Linked DNA regions of Drosophila melanogaster. The protein of the gene in region 1 purifies or fractionates together with the protein of each later gene. This does not show direct contact. Each region holds a gene or a part of one and is shown on either strand. Other genes may lie near its edges.

What was found.
Region 2: the proteins of Brr2 (region 1) and ecd purify together in Drosophila melanogaster (affinity purification with mass spectrometry; 2 studies listed by BioGRID, with this or other methods). This does not show direct contact.

Annotation. Positions count from the first base shown.
Region 1 is NT_037436.4:15,960,148-15,973,217, reverse strand, and holds Brr2 (Brr2 U5 snRNP complex subunit), read left to right. Parts: upstream 1-5,345; 5' UTR 5,346-5,465; coding exon 5,466-5,510; intron 5,511-5,606; coding exon 5,607-6,302; intron 6,303-6,359; coding exon 6,360-11,103; intron 11,104-11,167; coding exon 11,168-11,342; intron 11,343-11,397; coding exon 11,398-11,680; intron 11,681-11,738; coding exon 11,739-12,224; 3' UTR 12,225-12,382; downstream 12,383-13,070. Other genes in the region: brm (brahma), read left to right, coding at 1-1,059, 1,133-1,924, 1,985-2,841; CG10516 (uncharacterized protein), read right to left, coding at 3,450-3,592, 3,658-4,219, 4,525-4,848; CG17032 (uncharacterized protein), read right to left, coding at 12,710-13,070. UniProt on the Drosophila melanogaster protein: Catalyzes the ATP-dependent unwinding of U4/U6 RNA duplices, an essential step in the assembly of a catalytically active spliceosome. Plays a role in pre-mRNA splicing.
Region 2 is NT_037436.4:2,263,078-2,272,945, reverse strand, and holds ecd (ecdysoneless), read left to right. Parts: upstream 1-7,088; 5' UTR 7,089-7,170; coding exon 7,171-7,450; intron 7,451-7,523; coding exon 7,524-9,298; 3' UTR 9,299-9,365; downstream 9,366-9,868. Other genes in the region: yellow-g, read left to right, coding at 255-695, 1,807-2,003, 2,438-2,981; CG32302 (uncharacterized protein), read right to left, coding at 3,165-4,106; obst-I (obstructor-I), read right to left, coding at 4,417-5,076; CG13806 (uncharacterized protein), read right to left, coding at 5,479-6,342, 6,415-6,444; CG13807 (uncharacterized protein), read right to left, coding at 9,400-9,590, 9,652-9,868. UniProt on the Drosophila melanogaster protein: Required in both the follicle cells and the germline for oocyte development.

The DNA.
Region 1 (13,070 bases):
AGGTGGAGGACGATGAGTACAGGACGGAGGAACAGACGTACTACAGCATCGCTCATACCATTCATGAAAAGGTTGTGGAGCAGGCCAGCATCATGGTTAATGGTACGCTCAAGGAATACCAGATCAAAGGCTTGGAGTGGTTGGTTTCGCTGTACAATAACAATCTAAATGGTATTTTGGCCGATGAAATGGGTTTGGGTAAAACCATTCAAACCATTTCGCTGGTAACCTACCTTATGGATCGAAAGAAGGTTATGGGTCCTTACTTGATTATTGTACCACTCTCCACCCTGCCCAATTGGGTGCTGGAATTCGAGAAGTGGGCGCCAGCCGTGGGTGTAGTCAGCTACAAGGGCAGTCCGCAGGGAAGGCGATTGCTGCAAAATCAAATGAGAGCAACCAAGTTCAATGTGCTGTTAACCACATATGAGTACGTGATTAAGGACAAGGCGGTGCTGGCCAAGATCCAGTGGAAATACATGATTATCGACGAGGGTCACCGCATGAAGAACCATCACTGCAAACTCACCCAGGTGCTGAACACCCACTACATTGCCCCCTATCGGTTACTTCTCACGGGTACACCTCTGCAAAACAAGCTTCCCGAGTTGTGGGCGCTACTTAATTTCCTGCTGCCCTCGATCTTTAAGTCCTGCTCCACATTTGAACAGTGGTTCAATGCGCCATTTGCCACCACTGGCGAGAAGGTCGAGCTAAACGAGGAGGAGACCATCCTTATCATTCGTCGTCTGCACAAGGTTCTTCGTCCTTTCCTGTTGCGTCGCCTCAAAAAGGAGGTAGAGCACCAGCTGCCCGACAAGGTCGAGTACATCATCAAGTGCGACATGTCCGCGCTGCAACGCGTTCTCTACAAGCACATGCAGAGCAAGGGTGTCCTGCTCACCGATGGTTCCGAGAAGGGCAAGCACGGCAAGGGAGGCGCTAAGGCGCTGATGAACACGATCGTACAGCTGCGCAAGCTGTGCAACCATCCGTTTATGTTCCAGCACATAGAAGAGAAGTACTGCGATCACACTGGCGGCCACGGAGTTGTATCCGGTAAGTTTATCTTGTTAATTTTTTGGTATATTTATATTTACATTGGTATAATCTAATCTTTTTCAAATTAAAGGACCGGATCTGTATCGTGTCTCTGGCAAATTCGAGCTGCTTGATCGCATCCTGCCCAAGCTGAAGGCGACCAATCATCGCGTGCTGCTCTTCTGTCAGATGACCCAATGCATGACCATCATCGAAGACTACCTGGGATGGCGCCAATTCGGCTACCTTCGACTCGACGGTACCACGAAGGCCGAGGATCGTGGCGAACTACTGCGAAAATTCAACGCCAAAGGCTCGGATGTATTTGTCTTTTTGCTATCTACCCGAGCTGGTGGTTTGGGTCTTAATCTGCAGACCGCCGATACTGTAGTAATCTTCGACTCCGATTGGAATCCCCATCAGGATCTGCAAGCCCAGGATCGTGCCCATCGTATTGGTCAACGTAACGAGGTGCGCGTCCTGCGACTAATGACAGTCAACTCGGTGGAAGAGCGCATCTTGGCAGCAGCCAGGTACAAGCTGAACATGGACGAGAAGGTCATCCAGGCTGGTATGTTCGATCAGAAGTCAACGGGTAGCGAGCGACAGCAGTTCCTACAAACGATTCTGCACCAGGATGACAACGAAGAGGAGGAGGAAAATGAGGTGCCCGATGACGAAATGATCAACATGATGATCGCCCGCAGCGAGGAGGAGATTGAAATATTTAAGCGCATGGATGCTGAGCGCAAGAAGGAGGATGAGGAGATCCATCCGGGTAGGGAACGTCTGATCGATGAGTCCGAGCTACCCGACTGGTTGACAAAGGATGATGACGAAGTAGAGCGTTTCCACTATCAGTACGACGAGGATACCATTCTAGGTGAGTTACACTGCTCGCTGTTATTTAAACATTTTTCTTACGATAACTATTCCGCCTTAGGTCGAGGCTCCCGGCAGCGAAAGGAAGTAGACTACACCGATAGTTTGACTGAAAAGGAGTGGCTGAAAGCCATCGACGATGGCGCTGAGTTCGACGAGGAAGAGGAGGAAGACGATTCGAAGCGCAAGCGACGAAAGCGTAAGAATCGGAAGGAAGAGTCCGACGATGATTCGTTGATCCTAAAACGGCGACGACGCCAAAATCTGGACAAGCGGTCCAAGAAGCAGATGCACAAGATTATGAGTGCGGTTATCAAGCACAACCAAGATGGACGAACCCTGTCCGAACCGTTCATGAAGTTGCCTTCGCGGCAGAGGTTGCCCGACTACTACGAGATCATTAAGCGGCCAGTTGATATTAAGAAAATCCTGCAGCGCATTGAGGACTGCAAGTATGCCGATCTCAACGAGCTGGAGAAGGACTTTATGCAGCTATGCCAGAATGCACAGATCTACAACGAAGAGGCGTCTCTGATTTACCTGGACTCGATTGCCCTGCAAAAGGTATTCGTTGGGGCCAGGCAGAGGATAACAGCTGCAGCGGATGCAGCCGCAGTGGCAGCCGGAGATAACACGGGTGAAGCGCACGGCAATGGAGGTTCGGATAATTCGGACAACGACGACGACGATGGTGGCGATGACGGCTCCGACGACGAGGAGATTGCAACCACTTCAGCGGCGGCTGTCAAAATGAAGCTGAAACTGAACAAATCTCTGGCTAGTGCGCCCGCTACGCCCACGCAATCATCGTCGAATGTGAGCAGCGGAGCGGCTACCACATCCAAGAAGCAGACGCGTCGCAAGCGCTCCCAAAAGAAGTACACTATTTCAGACGATGACGACGATGACATGGACTAGCTACCGTTGGGAGTGATCTTCAAGCGCGGATCGTCGGATGTCGAAGGCATGGGCAATTGATTATTAATTAGTTTAAGTTTTACTTTCAAGGACGATGCTTACCAAAACCCTAGCCTACGGGTTTTTTTAACCATCTAACCTATCATGCTATCACTTTTATCTATACTAATTTTCTAGTTGTAGGTTCTCGATTAAGTTTCCTATTCAATTATTTTCGCACACACCATTTATTTCTCCCAATTCTATTGATTGTATAATTATGTGCTTTAAAATAAATGCATACCTAACATAAAGTAAATCGAAAAACTTGTCATTAATGGACGGCGGATTGCTCCTTGAGAGATTGTTCAACCTAGACCAGGCTGGAATTAGTAACAAAGATCTTATTTAAATCGGTACCTAAATGAATACATCGCTGCTAGCGTATAAAGGAAATGGTTTTAAATATATCAAAATGGGAAAATTATGATGTTTCGTTTAATTAATAAGTTGTATTTTAGGAAGTCTTACAGTAATTAAAATTAGCTTCAGCATTTCTACTTATTACATTTATAACTAAGCTCCTTCAAATAAATGCATACTTAAACATATTGATATGCTTGGTAAGACTAAAGCAGGTAGTGGAAGTACTCGTCGCACATCTCGTGGACACTAGCGGTGTGCTCCTCGTCGCCGCTATCACTGCTTCGCAACGTGATTTTGTGTGCATTGGCGTACAAGTCGTCCTCATCAACAGCCGCATCGTCGGTTTCTATTAATTGAAATTGCAAAAGTGATGTGGCAGAAATGATAGTGGACGTAACTTCGTGACCTCACCTCGGTACTTTTGTTTGCGCCTCAACCGTTGCTTGGAGCTTGAGAGCACTGCTTCGTCGCCCAGATCCAATTCGTTTTCGCGGGAGTTCCGGGAGTAACGAATTGGCGGTGCCAGGAACCAGTAGGATTGCATGATGCCTTTGAGACCCGGCATTTGACGCAGTTCGGCCAATTTGAGCGGCTGCCTGGACAATGCTTGGAAAGATCGCAGCTGCAGTGTGACTGGTTGCGAAGTGCAGTTGATCAGCCTAATTACGGACTTCGCGGCTGTGGAGCAGACCATGGGATATATTTTGACATCCGGATCCGTCGGGACATTGGTGTAGGCCACTCCCAGCGATCTGCGGTTCAAATAGAACTCCAAGTGCCCACGCGTTCGATCCAAACAGACACCAATCAAGCAGCCCTGCGAGAACTTCTGGCCGTAGGGCAGTAACTCGCCACAGTGCTGAATCCTTCCGGAATACGAAAAGCCCCAGGACTGGGCATTGGTGCCCAGGGCCGAGACAAAGTGAAACTTGAACTGCCCTAGATTAACGCTTTCCGTGCCGATGCCGAACATCTAGGAAAAGTTATAAGAAAAGAAAGGCAATTATAAAGAGAACATTATTTACATTGAACTTTAGCTGGCTTATCATCTAGTTGGGGTGTCTGCTGAGATTTCCTCCTCCCGCTGCGTCTGTTATCTTATCGCCGCGTTGTAATCTGTAATCCATAATACAACGAAGCGAACAATCAAGTCGTCTCCAATGGAAACGAGCACACCAGATGCCTGGTTAGTTGTGTTCTATTTTAAGGCGGCGACTTTGAGTGACATTCATCATGCTGAGCATCCCAACTAGTTGCCAAGCCGGCCTGATAACTAACCACATCCGTGCCGGCCAGAGTCGTGATGACGCGCATCTCCCAAAAGTGCACCATGTTTGTTTTTAGGGCCTGTTCCCCTCTCACAATCGCCGTGCCCTGACTGTAGGTGGGATGGAAGATGATGTCCCGGTCGGTGACCACGGCATCCGATTCATCAGTGGCGTGCCACCGCCAGGCATTCACGTTTCCGGACTCATCCTCGCCGCATTGGCACCTGACCAGGTCGGGTATATGGCCCTTGTGGTTGGTAACCTCAATGGAGTTGGGAAACGGGCAATCACAGAAGCCGGGATTGCAGGCTTCTTGGTACGGGGGCAGCAGCATGCTGGCACTTGTTCCTCTTCACTGGTTTACCTTCGATTGCTTTGTAATGAATTGTGTCAGCCGTGTACAATGATCTCGAGCAGTCGACGGACCACAAATGTTTCCAGTTAAACCAGCTGCAGCCTCATATATAAGCACATTACTCTGATCTGACTGAACAATAAACAAAACGATGCGTTGTAAATAGACGTCGGCATCGCTGCCGACGTCGCCGCCAGTGTGACCGAAGCCGCAGTTCGGAACTTAAAATATACTAGATATATCTCAATTATGAGAATTATGGTCAAATTTATAGCAATTTCTTTTGTGGATTGCTAGTGCGTAGGAAATTTTGGTGTTTACAAAAGCTAAAAAACCAGTATTCAAATTTTAAATAGAATGTTGATGGGCTACATTTTTAAAAACTTAGATGCGCGCGCTAACGATAGGTTTCCTACAAATGGCAGCCCTGATATCGATTTTCAGTTGGCTTCGCACATATGGCATCTCTTTAGCCTTTTGACAATCTGGCAGCACGCGTAGCCACAAACAGCGGCTTTTCACTACGATATTTCCGCAAAAAGTTGTAAAATAGGTTAATAAAAGTGCTTAATACTTATAAAAACAACTAAACAGACATGGCGGATGCCGCAGCACGTCAGCTGCAATACGAGTACAAGGCGGTAAGTGTCAAATCCCGCCCGGGAAAACTTCTCCCACTCCATGCGGCGTCTCACCAGAATTTCACAAACACGTTAAATGTATTTTCCATTTTTCAGAACTCCAATCTTGTGCTGCAAGCCGATGTCCGACTCATCGAACGTCCGCGCCGCGATGAGGCCACTGGCGAGGTGTGTTCCCTGGTGGGAAAGCTGGACGGAACAAGGATGGGAGATCGGTACCAGCGAACGAAGCCGGAGAAAACGGAGGAGCGCAAGGTGAAACGTCAGAAGCGCGACGAGGCCCAGTACGATTTCGAGCGGATGAAGGGAGCCACTCTGCTCTCCGAGGGCATTGACGAGATGGTGGGCATTGTGTATCGACCCAAGACCCAGGAAACTCGTCAGACCTACGAGGTCCTGCTCAGTTTCATCCAGGAGGCTCTGGGGGATCAGCCCAGGGATATCCTGTGCGGTGCCGCTGATGAGATTCTGGCTGTCCTCAAGAACGATCGTTTAAAGGATCGGGAGCGAAAGAAGGATATAGACAGCTTGCTGGGCGCAGTTACAGATGAGCGATTCGCTCTGCTGGTTAACCTGGGCAAAAAAATCACAGACTTTGGCAGCGATGCCGTGAATGCTTTGACTGCTGCTCCCAACAACGAGGAGCAGATCGATGAAACCTACGGCATCAATGTTCAGTTTGAGGAATCCGAAGAGGAGAGCGACAACGACATGTATGGCGAGATTCGCGACGATGATGCCCAGGATGAAGGAGAGGAGGCCCGCATTGATCACACACTGCATGCAGAGAATGTGAGTAATGTAGTTAAAATTGCGAATCCCATTTCTTATTCGTGTATCCCTTCCCAGCTAGCCAACGAGGAAGCCGCAAATAATGTAAAGAAAGAGCGCTCCTTGCATCCTCTGGACATAGATGCGTATTGGTTGCAGCGTTGTCTGAGCAAGTTCTACAAGGACGCCATGGTGTCGCAAAGCAAAGCCGCCGATGTGTTGAAGATCCTCAAAGATGCCGCCGACGATCGCGATTGCGAAAATCAATTGGTGCTTCTGCTGGGCTACGATTGCTTTGACTTCATTAAGCAATTGAAGCTTAACCGGCAGATGGTCCTGTACTGCACCATGCTCGCCTCGGCCCAAACGGACAGCGAGCGGCAAAGGATTCGCGAGAAGATGCGCGGAAATTCTGCGTTGGCCAAAATCCTTCGGCAATTGGATACGGGAAAGTCAGAGGATCAGGAGGAGGGCGAAGCACGGGGAAGCAAGCGTGGCAAAGGCGATGCAGAGGATGGTGGAGCGGCGGCTGCCGGGCAGGTGGCCGGTGTGCGACAGCTACTCGAGTTGGAAGAGATGGCATTCACTCAAGGATCTCACTTTATGGCCAACAAGCGCTGTCAGCTTCCCGACGGCTCCTACAGGAAACAACGAAAGGGCTACGAGGAGGTGCACGTGCCTGCACTGAAACCCGTGCCATTTGATGCCAATGAGGAACTTCAGCCTGTGGACAAGCTTCCGAAATATGTGCAGCCTGTGTTCGAGGGTTTCAAGACCCTTAATCGTATCCAAAGTCGTTTGTACAAGGCCGCACTGGACAGTGATGAGAATATGCTGCTGTGCGCCCCTACTGGAGCTGGTAAAACTAATGTGGCACTGCTAACCATGATGCGGGAGATTGGAAAGCACATCAACGAGGATGGCACCATCAATGCGCAGGATTTCAAAATCATTTACGTGGCTCCCATGAAATCGCTGGTGCAGGAAATGGTTGGCAATTTTGGACGACGTCTTGCTTGCTATAATCTGACGGTCTCTGAGTTGACTGGAGATCACCAGCTGACCAGGGAACAGATCGCCGCCACGCAGGTGATTGTGTGCACACCAGAGAAGTGGGATATCATCACTCGAAAGGGAGGCGAGCGTACCTTTGTGAGCTTAGTCCGGTTGGTTATCATCGATGAGATTCACTTGCTCCACGACGAGCGTGGTCCGGTGCTTGAGGCCCTGGTGGCGCGTACGATAAGGAATATTGAAACTACCCAGGAGGAGGTGCGATTGGTGGGCTTATCTGCCACACTGCCCAACTATCAGGACGTGGCCACCTTCCTACGCGTAAAGCCCGATAAAGGCCTCTTCTACTTTGATAACAGCTATCGGCCTGTGTCCCTGGAGCAGCAGTATATCGGTGTGACGGAGAAGAAGGCCCTAAAGCGATTCCAGGTGATGAACGAGATCGTTTATGAGAAGACCATGGAGCATGCTGGGCGTAATCAGGTCCTGGTCTTCGTACACTCGCGCAAGGAGACTGGAAAAACGGCCAGGGCTGTGAGGGACATGTGCCTGGAGCAGGATACCCTTGGTAGCTTTCTTAAGGAAGGATCAGCAAGCATGGAAGTGCTGCGGACTGAAGCCGAACAAGTAAAGAACACAGAGCTTAAGGAGTTATTGCCCTACGGCTTCGCCATTCATCATGCTGGAATGACCCGCGTCGATCGTACTTTGGTGGAAGATCTATTTGCTGATCGGCACATTCAAGTTTTGGTTTCCACCGCCACGCTAGCTTGGGGTGTCAATCTCCCTGCCCATACTGTAATCATCAAGGGCACGCAGGTATACAATCCGGAAAAAGGACGTTGGGTGGAGCTGAGTGCTTTGGATGTACTGCAGATGTTGGGTCGTGCTGGACGACCGCAGTATGATACCAAGGGTGAGGGTATTCTTATAACCAATCACAGTGAGTTGCAGTTCTATCTCTCCTTGCTCAACCAGCAGTTGCCGATTGAGTCCCAATTCATCTCCAAGCTTCCTGACATGCTCAATGCGGAGATTGTGCTAGGAACGGTCCAACATCTCCAGGATGCAGTTAACTGGTTGGGCTACACTTATCTGTACATTAGAATGCTGAGGAATCCCACGTTGTACGGAGTTTCCCATGATGCCATCAAGGCTGATCCTCTGTTGGAACAGCATCGTGCTGATCTCCTGCATACCGCAGCTTGCTGTCTGGAGAGAAGTGGCCTTATTAAATACGATCGGAAGACGGGACACTTTCAGGTTACTGATCTGGGACGCATTGCCTCTCACTATTACCTAACCCATGAAACCATGCTGACTTACAACCAGCTCCTTAAGCAAACTCTTAGTGAGATTGAGTTGTTCCGCGTATTCTCCCTATCCTCGGAATTCCGGCATATTTCCGTCCGAGAAGAGGAAAAGTTGGAGCTGCAGAAGCTCATGGAACGAGTGCCCATTCCCATTAAGGAGTCCATTGAAGAGCACAGTGCCAAGGTGAATGTTTTGCTGCAAGCCTATATCTCCCAGTTGAAACTGGAGGGCTTTGCATTGATGTCGGACATGGTGTTTATTACCCAATCCGCTGCCCGTTTAATGAGAGCCATTTTTGAGATTGTATTGACCCGCGGATGGGCTCAATTGGCGGACAAAACGTTGACGCTCTGCAAGATGATCGACAGAAGAATGTGGCAATCGATGACACCACTTAGGCAGTTCAAGAAGATGCCCGATGAGATTGCCAAGAAGCTGGAGAAAAAACACTTCCCCTGGGGCAGGCTTTACGATCTAGAGCCACATGAACTTGGTGAGCTGATTAGAGTGCCCAAGCTAGGAAAGACCATCCACAAGTTTGTGCACCAGTTCCCCAAATTGGAGCTCTCCACGCACATTCAACCCATAACAAGGGGAACTCTGAGAGTGGAACTAACAATTACACCGGATTTCCAATGGGATGAAAAGGTGCATGGCCAGTCGGAAGGTTTCTGGGTTTTAATTGAAGATGTCGACTCGGAACTCATTCTCCATCATGAGTTTTTCCTGCTGAAGCAGAAGTATTCCCAAGATGAGCACCAGCTTAAGTTCTTTGTGCCTGTCTTTGAACCTCTGCCACCGCAGTACTTCCTTCGCATTGTCTCAGATCGTTGGATAGGTGCAGAGACCCAATTACCAGTTTCTTTCCGACACTTGATTCTGCCCGAGAAGAATATGCCACCTACGGAGCTTTTGGATCTCCAACCGCTTCCTATTAGTGCACTCCGGCAGCCGAAGTTTGAATCCTTTTATTCGCAACGCTTCCCGCAATTCAATCCCATTCAGACACAGGTCTTCAACGCAGTCTACAATAGTGATGAGAATGTCTTTGTTGGAGCACCAACCGGATCCGGAAAGATGACTATTGCAGAGTTTGCCATCATGCGCTTGTTCACTACCCAATCCGATGCCCGATGTGTATATTTGGTCTCGGAGGAGGCATTGGCGGACTTAGTTTTTGCGGATTGGCATAGCAAATTTGGATCCCTGGACATAAAAGTGGTTAAATTGACCGGCGAAACTGGAACCGATCTTAAGCTCATAGCCAAGGGACAGCTGGTGATCACTACTGCGGATAAGTGGGATGTGTTGTCTCGCAGATGGAAACAGAGGAAGAACGTACAATTGGTGAACCTGTTCATTGTGGACGAACTGCAGTTGGTTGGTGGCGAAGAAGGTCCCGTTTTGGAAATTGTATGCTCCAGGATGCGATACATTAGCTCGCAGATTGAGAAACAGATCAGAATAGTGGCGTTGTCTGCATCGCTAACGGATGCCAGGGATGTCGCCCAGTGGCTGGGCTGTAATCCCAATGCCACTTTCAATTTCCACCCCAGCGTGCGTCCCATTCCGTTGGAGCTGCACATCCAGGGCTATAATGTCACTCACAACGCCACCAGAATTGCTACGATGTCCAAGCCTGTTTACAATGCCATCCTCAAGTACAGCGCCCACAAGCCGGTGATTGTGTTTGTCTCGTCCAGAAAGCAGGCCAGGCTCACTGCAATTGATGTTTTGACCTACGCAGCATCGGATTTGCAACCCAACCGTTTTTTCCATGCTGAGGAGGAGGACATCAAGCCGTTCCTCGAACGAATGACGGATAAAACTTTGAAGGAGACCCTAGCGCAAGGAGTGGCCTATCTCCATGAGGGCCTATCCGCCTCAGATCATCGCCTGGTGGAGCAGCTGTTTGACTCTGGCGCCGTGCAAGTAGCTGTTATCTCCAGAGACCTTTGCTGGGGCATGAGCATCTCCGCTCACTTGGTGATCATCATGGACACACAATTTTACAATGGCAAGAATCATTCGTATGAGGACTATCCCATTACAGACGTGCTGCAAATGATTGGTCGAGCCAATCGGCCGAACGAGGATGCGGATGCCAAATGCGTGCTGATGTGCCAGAGCAGCAAGAAGGACTTCTTTAAGAAATTCATCAACGAGCCGCTGCCCATCGAAAGTCATTTGGATCATAGAATGCATGATCACTTTAACGCCGAGGTGGTCACCAAGACAATTGAGAACAAACAGGATGCCGTTGATTATCTCACCTGGACGTTCCTCTACAGACGATTGACCCAAAATCCCAACTACTACAATCTGCAGGGTGTCACGCATCGCCATCTCTCCGACCATCTTTCGGAGTTGGTGGAGAATACGCTGAGCGATCTAGAACAGTCCAAGTGTATTAGCGTGGAGGATGATATGGACACGCTGCCACTCAATCTGGGCATGATTGCTGCCTACTATTACATCAACTACACAACTATCGGTATGAAGCATTAGATTTAAGTTTAGGCAATTGTCATCTTCATTTTCCTATCATTTTTTCCCAGAGCTCTTCAGTTTGTCCCTCAACAGCAAAACAAAAGTGCGGGGCCTGCTGGAAATTATTTCATCGGCAGCTGAGTACGAGGATGTTGTGGTCAGGCATCATGAGGAGCAGGTTCTGCGCACGCTGTCTCAGCGACTGCCCAACAAACTCACAGGACCCAATGAAACGGCTCCAAAGTAAGCAACCCATACATTTAGATCTTAAAAAGAATTTTACCAATGTTATTTTTAGATTCAATGATCCGCACATCAAGACCAATTTGCTGCTTCAGGCTCATCTTTCGCGATTGCAACTGGGACCTGAACTGCAAGGCGATACGGAGCAGATACTGAGCAAGGCCATCCGCCTCATTCAGGCCTGCGTAGATGTGCTGAGTTCAAATGGCTGGCTGTCGCCGGCTGTGGCTGCCATGGAGCTGGCTCAGATGGTCACGCAGGCCATGTGGAGCAAGGACTCGTACTTGAAACAGTTGCCGCACTTTAGTCCCGAGATTGTCAAGCGGTGCACAGAGAAGGTGAGAGTAACAACAAGTGAATCTCTAGGATTATCTCATGTTTCGTCGTATATTTCAGAAAATCGAAACCGTTTTCGATATCATGGAATTGGAGGACGAGGATCGCACTCGCCTGCTGCAGCTCTCCGATTTACAAATGGCCGATGTTGCTCGATTCTGCAACCGTTACCCCAACATTGAGCTGAACTATGAGGTGGTGGACAAGGATCGCATCAACTCAGGATCAACCGTTAATGTAGTGGTTCAACTGGAACGTGAGGATGAGGTCACTGGCCCAGTCATTGCTCCATTCTTCCCGCAGAAGCGCGAAGAAGGATGGTGGGTCGTCATAGGTGATCCCAAGACCAACTCCCTGCTCTCCATCAAACGGCTCACGCTGCAGCAAAAGGCAAAGGTCAAGCTGGACTTTGTGGCACCTAGTCCGGGCAAACACGACTACACTCTGTACTACATGAGCGATTCCTATTTGGGTTGTGATCAGGAGTACAAGTTTTCCATCGAAGTGGGTGACTTCCAGTCGGAAAGCGAAAGCGAGTCAGATTAGTTTTCTTTAGGATCATCAGTTGGGCATGTTTGCACAAATGAAAATCAATCATTTTACAATTTACGCGCATTAATTGTAGCAATAATAAATTCGTGTACTACTTTAGTAGAAACCAAATTGTACAAGGATACACTGAGGATAATTATATAAAGTAGTACAAAAAAAAAAAAAAACAAAATAAAAAAAACCTTTCAACTTTCTTTCGCTGGTTGATACCAAGAATCTAAATATTTTGTAGTCAACAGTGCCAATTCTTATATTGTCTTAAGCTTTTAAATTTCGTATGGAACAATTCAAGTTTGTTGTAATTTGTAATCTGGATCATCAAAATGCAACCGTTTAGATTTTAAAAAAATCATTCAAATTATTCATTCAAATTCAATTCAATCATAAATATTTATTTGGATTTTTTAGATATTTGCACATAGGATTGCTGACAAATAGATTAACTTGGAGGTATTTTCCCTGTATGGTGAACTTGGCTTTTAGCGGCTGACAGAAACTGCCGATCCATGGCTACTGCCACGATTGGCTCCTCCATTAGCGAAGCTGTTCGTGGAGCTAAAGTTTATTGTCTGTCCATTGGGAAGATGGTAAACCTGACTCAGCGAAGCACCTGCCGCATTATTGGATCCAAAGGGGCTGGTGTTCTGGGACTGAGTGGCCGTGCTTGCGGAGGAGGCACCGAATGATCCATTGGCACTCTGCGACTGGAAGCCCTGAGCCTGCCCACTGGCGGCCGAGGATCCTGAGTTGAGTCCATTGTTGTAGTTGCTGTGGGCAGCTCCGTTGGATGCGGCCTGCTCCTGGTTGTAACCACTGGGTCCGAGTGGTCCCAGCGGATTT
Region 2 (9,868 bases), about 14 Mb from region 1:
GGTCTGGCCGACTTCCGGCGTGGGCCAGACGTGCTGGCTGGGTGGTAGCCACTCCAGACAGACACTTGTTCCCCCCCGTGTCAAGCAACCAACGACCTTGCCGCAACACGCTCCACATGCTGGCTGCATAAGTCGTTGGGTATTATATATAAATGCAGGTCTACCATCGCTCAGACAGTTTTATGTTCTGGCCAACGTGGTGAATCGAGTGCAGAAGCTCTGTTTGTGGAAAGCGCAGAAAGAAACGCCGAAAAATGTCGCAGCTGCAACTGCTGCTCCTCGTCGCTTCGGCCTCCGTGGTCCTCGCGGGATACAGCTCCTCCACCGACGAGTCGACGGACGCCTCCAACTCCATTGGCGGCACCAAGTGCGACAAGAACCCGCTGAACGAACTGACCTTCCAGCTCAGCGGCAGCAGCCTCCACTGGCCCTGCGAGTCCACCAAGAACATCTACGTCCAGTCCGGCCGCTATGTGCCCCGTAACGTGATCGTGACCCGGGCCCAACTGCAGCGGGACTCCGCCTTCGTGGCGCTGCCCAGGTACAAGCAGGGCGTGCCCTTCACTCTCGGCAAGGTCAATCTAAAGAAGGGCGAGTGCCTGACCAAGATCGCACCCTATCCCTGCTGGGCCATTCAGGAGGAGGGCAACTGCCAGGCGCTGCAGTCCGTCGTGGACATAGCCGTCGATCAGAATGTGAGTGCAATTAACGCCAGTATTGTTTGGACCATTTTTTTTTTGGGGGTCAGACAAGTTGTCTCGTCCAAACTGCCAGTTCTGCCTTTAATTACGGACTGCTCGTTGTTGGCCACCATGGAGGCATAGCACTTTAACCCACACCAAATGTTTAATTCATATTTGTATCGTGGGTGGATTACAGGGTAGCATTGAAATGCTCTTAGGGCTATTCACTTTTTTTTTCTAAAAATGATTTAGTTTATCTTCTGATATTGATATTGATGTGCAGTCGCAGTGTTAAATATTTGCTAGCCCTTACAAAGTCGATCAAAATCGGGAGTTTAGCTCCAGGGTATCGTTTTCGCATTAACCCCTTGCCGGACGCACTTTTTTAATTGGTTAGCCTCGCTGTCGACCAAATATTACTTTTTTAATCAAATAAACGGGGCCACAAAAGTGAAGAGCTCCAAATAAAATTCATGCCCGTCAATTGGCGGCAGCAATTTAAGGGTAGAATAAACGGATACGGAAACGCCGAAAAAGCTGTGGGGTAAATGGAATATTATAAAGGACAAGGACTGCAGCTGAAAAGTGACAAGCAAATGCAGTGAAAAGTTCTCGAAAATAATTTTGGAAATGCTGGGAACAGGCCATCCAGCCGTGTTTTGTGCATTTCGATTGCACTTCAGAAGTTCTCAGCTTTAATTTTAAATGACAGATGCATTCGCAGATATTACAATGATGCTATTAAATATTTACATGACCTACTTACGATTGCGAGCATAAGCTGCAACTTAATAATTTCCTTCAATTATTGTTGGCGTCGAATCGTTCTCATTTAAATGCCATTCCCGTTTAGCTGCATTTATGCAAATCATTTCTTTATTTTATTTACACAAAAGTCGACGAAACAATAACAAACGGCAAACAAACGAGGCGACTGTATTTATTTATTTGCGCAATTTTCCATTCAGTGCTTTTCGCTGATACTCATTTTATGGCCACATATTTGCGAATGTGGAATTTTTAACGCCGCCAACATTTCAATTAGCCGCCAAATGAAAACATTAACAACAATCAACACGAGCTGCAATTGATAGCAATTAATAATTGCCTTCTCCGTTCGCAGGGACTTCTGTGGGCCTTGGACGTGGGCATTGTCAACACCCTGGAGCAGCCCATCCGCAGATGCAGTCCCAAGATCGTGGCCATAAACACGGCCAACCACAAGGTGGTCAAGAGCATCGACCTCAGCGACCTGGTCACCTCCGAGAGTCGGCTGCAGTTCATCGTGGTCGACTACTCCAAGGACAACAAGCCATTCGTGTGAGTTCCATTGCCTATACTCTTTTATTACCCTTAACTTCATCTGTGAAATGAGTTGTACTTAATCACTTTTTGAAATACATCAACTATGAAATTAATACCACACATTACATTATTATTAACCATTATTACTAACCATTATTTATCAGCACAATGATATTCAGAGATTCATATTGCAGTCATAAAATATTCGTTGAAATCATCGAACTGAATCAAGAGTTTGGAGTACTTTTACCACACACTTTCAATCATGCTTTCAATCAGCGATCATTGAGCCAATCAAAAGGGCATTAGCCACTTTGAGGCTCATATCTTATCTGCTCAAGGTAGTTCTCAGAAGTGTGGCTCATCATATACCAAATAAAATCGATTTGTATTGCATACATGATATCTAATCTCATTCCACATTATATTTCCTTCACTTTCAACCATAGCTATGTGGCCGATGCTGGAGCACGTAGTATCCTGGTATACGACATCACCGGCAACAAGTCCTACCGCATCGTCCTGCCGAAGGCCACCGCCCCCACCAGCGATGTGCTGTACGTGGCGCTCACCTCGAAGCCGGACGGCACCTCCACCCTGTTCTTCAGCTACCTGAGCTCCCCCCGTCTGTACTCCATCAAGGGCGAGTACCTGCGCGTTGGCCAGGGAGCGGGCTCCATCATCGACGTGGGCCCCAAGCCCTATGGCAAACAGGCGGTGCTGCTGGGCGCCGACGGCGGCACCTCGCTCTTCTTCCGCTACAAGGGCGAGAACGACATTTACCTGTGGGACTCGGAGACCTGCTTCAAGGCCGCCAATCTGCAGGAGGTGCAGCGGGGAGGCGACTGCCGGCTGTCCACCCAAGTGCTCCCGGGTCACAAGCGATTCATGTGGGCGCTGGAGAGCAACTTCCACGATTTCATCTCGGATCGCACGGGCTGCAACGGAGCCTCGATCGTCCTGCATCCTGTGGTGCGGGAATGTGACGATTGAGTCCGTATCCCTCCACTTTCTTAGGCTTAAGATTCAAACTGATTTGTTGTCGTTACTGGGTCTCATTAAAATTTTGGTGAATATTTATAGTTATTTGTAGTTTATCTTAAAATGTTCAGAATGATTTCAATTTTTTAAATAGGCATTTACTTGAATCAATATTGGTACCATGAAAACAATTCATTACTCTGACTCTGATTGGCACTTTCGAGTCTCAGCATTGAAATACTGTCCCATTGGACAGCTGTAGATCTGCAGCTGGTGATCGATGCATATGCAGTACTCATCCTTGGTGGAGACATTGGGACAGCTGAGGATCTCAAAGTCCGAGCACTGATAGATCCTATCAGTCACGCAGGTCAGGATCTTAGGATCAATTTGGAAGCCGGCGGGACAGGTCATCACCTCCAGTTCTCCATCGACGCACTTGCAGTACTCGATCTCAGAGGTTCGGAAGGGGCATTGGTACCTATCGTTGTTCATGCACGTGTGGGACTCCATCGCCTGAATGCTCCTCATGCTCCTGGTGTCGGGCACACAGCTGTAGCTGTTGAAAACGAATCCCTCGTGGCACTTCATCATCAGCGGATACAGCGAATTGGCCGTGTCATTGACGCAGACGTAGAAGTACCGATTGTCGGGCGCCCATCCACCCACTTGTCCCGACCGACTGCAGGTGAACTGCTCCTGGATGCACTGCTCACTCTCCCGTGGCAGAACACAAGTGCCCGTGAGTGTGGAGTAGCCCGCTCCGTTGGAGCAGATGCGAGGGGTGTCCACACTCTGATCGCTGCACTCGTGGTACCGCCTACAGTCGTACGGATCCGGGAACAGGCCCGCCTGCTGACAGCTGAAGGGACCTCTCTTGGGCACCTGGCACTGCGACTGGAAGGTGCATCCGAAGGTACCCTCGTCGCTGCAATAGAAATTGTACTCCGATTGGCAGCCCAGCATCGAAATCGTTTCCCAGCTGCCGGTGGCATCGCGGATGCAGTAGCCCAAGGTGGTGCAGTTCATGCAAACGAAGCCGGGAATGCGCACATCCTGGCAGGGATTATCATTAGCCCACGCCGATCCCAACGCCAGAGCGAGCAGGATTAGACAAACCGGTACTGAAGACCTCATCTTGAAGACTGTTGGCTGGGTCATCTGCGGGACTAGCTTTTATAGCACCACCTAATCAGCCAGGCAAGTGTCTTTTTCTTAATTAAACAGATAAGCTTCTCTAGGTATTATCGATTTGATAAAGAACCAAAATTTTACGACGTAATAATAAATTTAGAAAACTTACTAAGCGTAGCTAAAATTGTAATTATTCGAAGAGTATCATCGAAACTGCGAACTGATAAATCCGGAATTCATTGAAAATAGTTTAATCAGTTTTAATCAGTTTTATTCCAAGATAGGCTAGCTACAATAACTATAATATGTTGGGTCAACAAGTTCCAGTAACGCACGCAAAGGAAATTAGATTGAAGATGGTTCCTACCGAGCATCTGAAATACTCAATATCACTGCCCTTTTCGCGACAATGATAGTACCCAGAGCAGTCAGCGGGATCACCAAACAATCCAAGCCGCTGGCACTTTCCAGACGAACTGGGCAACTCGTCGTCATCAGATCCTGTGTTCAGGCAAATCTGCAGCTCGTCATCAAAGGTAAAGCCCGTTGGACAGTAGTTAAGATGCCATTTGCCATCGATGCAGAGGCAGAAGACATCGCTTGCCGTGCTGTTAGGACATGGGGATGGAGTATAATCGTCCTGGCACTCAACGCTTCCCACCCGGCAGACCAATCGGTTGGCATCGAAGTAGGTTCCTTCAGGGCATTTCCAGATCTGAAGGTGCTTATCTTTGCACACGCAAAACTCGTCCATTTCTGTGGCCATCGGACATTTGCCGATTTGGTGATTGGTACAGCTGGTAGTGTCTGTAGATACGCAGGCTTGGATAGTTTCGTTAAAGTAGTAATCATCTGGACAGGATTCAGCAGCTGCATCCAATCTGAGCTCCAGATAACTGCCGTTCCCCAACCCTTTTCCCGTTTGAAACAACAGAAAAGTTAGGAGGCAGATAATCAGGCGAGATGAATCCATGTTGCAAACTTTCTAAGTAGACCTCTTCACACTCCGCCTTATATAGTACCTCACAACCAAACGCAGAATGTTTCGGTATAATTAATAGATAAACTGCAATGTTGTCACGAAAAAAACATTCTATGGAACATTTATGACCTAGTCACAGCACTCTTAGCAAGAAAGAACCAAGACAGTACTAGTCCATTTCTATTGCACTTTTATTGGAAAAAAACAAAGAACTCATTCTGGTTTAATTACCCACGGACATGGTGGTTGAATCTTTATTATCAAACTGATACCTTTTGAAATGGGAATTCATAAATTCATGTCAAATAGATTGTTATTCCAGGGTAAACATGAGTTGTTTATTAAATGTAATCCATTGAAGAGGAATAAATAAAGTGCAGGAATGCATCTTCCTCAGCAGCTTCCCAGGACGCAGGAGGATAGCTCCGGTCGGTAGTAAGTCCCATTGGGGCAGTCCATGTGCCGCAGGGTGCCATTTAGAGCCGAGCAGTAGTAGTACTTCCGGCAGTCGTTTCCATCGGCCATCAAGCCCACGTGCTGACAGGTGTTGGGCAGCACCGAAAAGTCGTCGTCGTTGGGATCCTCGATGATCACCGAAGGATCATCGGTGCTGGGCGGCAGGACATTCGATCCGCTGCGGCAGACGTAGTCCACGAAGGTCTCGCCATCGTTGCACCTGTGCAGCGAGGGGTAGATGACGATGGTGTCGTTCAGGTTCTGGTTAACCGTCGACTTGCACACGTAGAAGATATTGGGATTGGTGGGCCAGGCGGCCACGTGTCCGGCATTGGGGCAGTAGTACTGTCGCTGCAGGCAGACGGAGTCAGTCAGGGTCAAAGTGCACTGGCCAGTCGTCGCATCGAAGGCCTTGTCGTTGCCGCAATCAACGGCAGCAGCCACCAGAGTGGCCCCCACGAAGTAGCACATGTGGTACTTCTGGCAGTCGTACGGATCTGGAAAGATGCCTTGCGAGGTGCACTGAAAGTTGCCCTCGATGCCGAACGGATGACACGGGCCCGTCTCGTTGGTGCAGCTCCCCAGCCGGGCGTTGCAGTAGTATCCATTAGCCACGTCGCACGATTCCACGGGAATGTTCACCCATCCGTTGGAGTGACGCACGCAGGTGGCCAGCAGCTCGCAGGACTCGCAGATGGGCCCGGGACTCTGACGGCCCTCGCAGGAGTTTGTCTCCCGCGGCTGGATGCGCCGGGTGGTAACAGTGGCTCCCATAAGCAGAGCCACCAGGTTGAGCAGTAACTGTTGGGCGGTGGGGACATAAAAATCAAATGCCATTCACTTAAGTTTATCCTATTCTGAAAAACTACCTACCACGCTCACTAGTATTCTTTCCAAGAACATGACGATGTATTTCCCCTTTTGGACTTTGTTTCTGGTTAGTTTAGGTCCAACTTCCACGAGAATCTTCGATTGTCTGATTCAGACTCATATGGTGACAGCAATAAAAGTCCCGAAATAGCAGACTTTAGATAGCGTTTTATATCTTTTGGGTGTCTGTTTGTCTATCTATCAACTTTGAAAAGGCGATGGGAGTTGGGCAAAGTGGCAAACGCAGCGGCGTTTCTAATTACAACAACTACGCGGATCGGAATGCCGCAATGATGGGTGAGTGAACGACATTTACTAAAAATTGGTCCAACTAGCTGGAGTGTCAAGTGGAGTGGGTGTTTAATGTGTAAACAAGTCGGGATTTTGTTTGGCCGACTTATTCAGAGCACTTTAAAGTGCTCTCGAGTAAATATTTAAATACCATTTCTTTCAATAAAACTGACCGCTAGCTTTTGTAAATATGCACTTTTAGTAAAGGAATTTAATGCCTAATCTTCGGTTCATACCTAATCTTCAATCATAAAAAATCGCTGAGAGAAATAACGGGAATGGGTTGGGTCACCGCTAAGCGCTTAGCCACGTCCTCCACCGCTCTGCTGAAGCGGAACCCTGCTGCGCGACCAGTGTGAACGAACTTCTTTGAACGATAGTCAGTTCGGAAGCACGCACTCATGTCGATAGTGTCACCTCGAACGCCCTAACAAATAAAAAAAAGGAGGAGGAGCAAAAGGACAAAGGATGAGCAAGATTCCAGGCAGCAATCTGGAGTTCGTCCGCGAGGAGGACTTCGTGGAGTACTACATCTTTCCCAAGATCCCCGACAACGTACAGGATGAGGGCGCGCTGCGCAAACTGATGCTTCAGATCCGCAACGAGATCTCGGCCATTGTAAGGGAAAAGTCCTTAGAGCGCAGCTATCTGTGGCACAAGGACGAGTTTCAGCTTCAGGTGAGGCTGGGCGGCGCCGAGGAGCGCCTGCTGAACGAGGAGACAAACCCGGAGGAGGAGGCGGAACTGGGTATGCGCACAATGTGCTATAAATAGCTTTGTTTCTGCAATTCGAAATCATCCATTTCCATGTCCCCGCCCAGGCGACCTCCCACCGCACTTCCACGGCGTAACCCACTATGGCGACAACATCAGCGACGAGTGGTTCGTTGTCTATCTGCTCACGGAGATCACACGTGCACGCGGCGACTGCATTGCACGGGTGAGCGATTCGGATGGCGAGTTCCTGCTCATCGAGGCGGCGGACGCCCTGCCCGACTGGGCGTCTCCGGAAACGTGCGAGCAGCGCGTTTATCTGGTCGGTGGTCACCTGCAGCTTCTCCAGAACTCCGCCGCCAGCAGCCAGGACAAGCCACTGACCATGGCCATGGCTGTGCAACGTATACGAATGAATCCCACCCTGTACCGCTGCTCGCAGGAGATACAGTCGTGCATTGACGCGCGGCTTAAGGAGTACCAGATCGCTCAGCCGCACTTCTCCATTCATCGCCAGGTGCTGGAGCTCCCGCATAGCGCTGCACAGCTTCTGAAACAGAAGCCAAGGCTGCTCTCCTCGGCGGTTAGGGCTTTCTGCGAGCGGGACTCGCTGGACATCAAGGCACTTCGCACCATGCGATATTTCCCACCGGAGGCCACACGCGTGCGCACCAACGTGCGTTTCACCCGCTGTCTGTACGCCATGTTGTCGCACCAGCAGTATCTGCCCGAGAAGAGACTCGGCTGGCATCTCACGGATCCTGTATCCGAGCCGGAACGATATAAGGAACAACTATTGGGCTTGAAGCTGGCCAGTGGACTGGAGATCCTGGCCACTCAAGCCAAGCGGGTTGAGGGCCAACAGCTGGAGGACCTTCCTGCCTGGCGATCGTATCTGCGGAGCTTGCTGAGCAAGGGCTACTTCCGGGACAACATCGAGGGCAGTGCCGAGTACCAGGAGCTGCTGAACAAGGCCAAGGTGTACTTTCGTGGCAACCAGGAGCGTTTCCGCACAGCCTCCAGAGCGGGTGCCGAGATCCTCGACCTGTTGCTCCATCCAGCGGAGGCTGCTTCCGAGGAGCTGCGCGATGAGGAGAACAACCTGCAGCCCAGCGACTCGGATGAGTGGTTGAATATCAGCGCTGAGGATCTAGACTCCATGCTGCAGGATCGCTACGGACCCAAGAAGCTCTACAAGCCGAACGGACAAATGAATGCCGAGGAGTTCACCAAGCAGCTGGCGGAGTTCTTAGATCGGCAGTCCAACTACGAGGGCATTGAGCACCGAGGGCTCGAGGAGCCAGAACTGGACTCAGACGATGACGAGCCGCCGCCGCAGGCAAACGGTTCCACAGGACTGACAGCAAAGGTCAAGAAGAATCCCTCCATGCGCAAGGCGTGCCAGCGCAATTCCGTCATCCAGCCGGAGGAACCGGACAGCACCCATGTGCGGAATTTCCTGGATTTCGTAATACCCGAGGACAACTGGGACTCCACCTCGGAGATGAGCGACTACGCGGACGAGGACGACATGGAGAGTAATCTAAATGCACTTTCTGGAGGCGGCAGTGTGTTCCCACTCGATCGACAGATTCAATCGTATATGGAGCAGATGGACCGCGAGTTGGCTCAGACCAGCGTGGGCAAGTCCTTCCACGGCAAGAAGAAGACAGCTCCACAGGCGGACGAGGACGATTTCGATGACATTGAGGACTTTGAGCCCATCAATATAAACGTAAACACGCTGCGCAACATGATGGATAGCTACCAATCGCAGGTTGGCGGCGCAGGTCCTGTATCCAATCTGTTTAGCGCCATGGGCGTGGGCATGTCGGCTGTCGAGGACAAGGAACAAAAGGATATATCTGAGTCGGCCGTTTAAGCGGGATTACAGGAATTAGTATAGTCTTAAGTCCATTAAATAAACGTCAATGTGAATATTTCAATGTAATGCAGAGTATTCTTATTTGATATATTCGATAACTAATCCTTGGATGCAGGCACAAAGTTTCCATAGTCGCGTCTGACCTTCATGGGTGGTTCGTTATTGGGAGTATCATTTCTCTGGTTATGATCATGGGAGCGCTTGTAGCCTCCAGATCCTCCGGACCCTCCGCCTCCTTCGTACCGATTCCGGCGATCGATGTGATCGTATCTGTTGTTGCGCCGGTTGTCTGTGGGAACAAATGCGTTGGTAAGCTATAAATAGAAACTGAGCTTCTTCCCGGGTATTACCCCTGAATCCCCTGTCCTGGTTGTTGTGGTAGCCAGCTCCTCCTCGTCGCTGCCAGCCCCTGTCGCCGCCTCCTCTGCGATGTCCGTTGTAGCGATTGTGGTAGGGATGACCACCGCCTCCTCCGCCCTGGAAGCCGCCTCCTCCTCCGCCACCTCCCATCCAGTTCTCCACAATTGGCGGCTCCGGCACAGGCTTGCTGCAGTGCGCCATGAACTC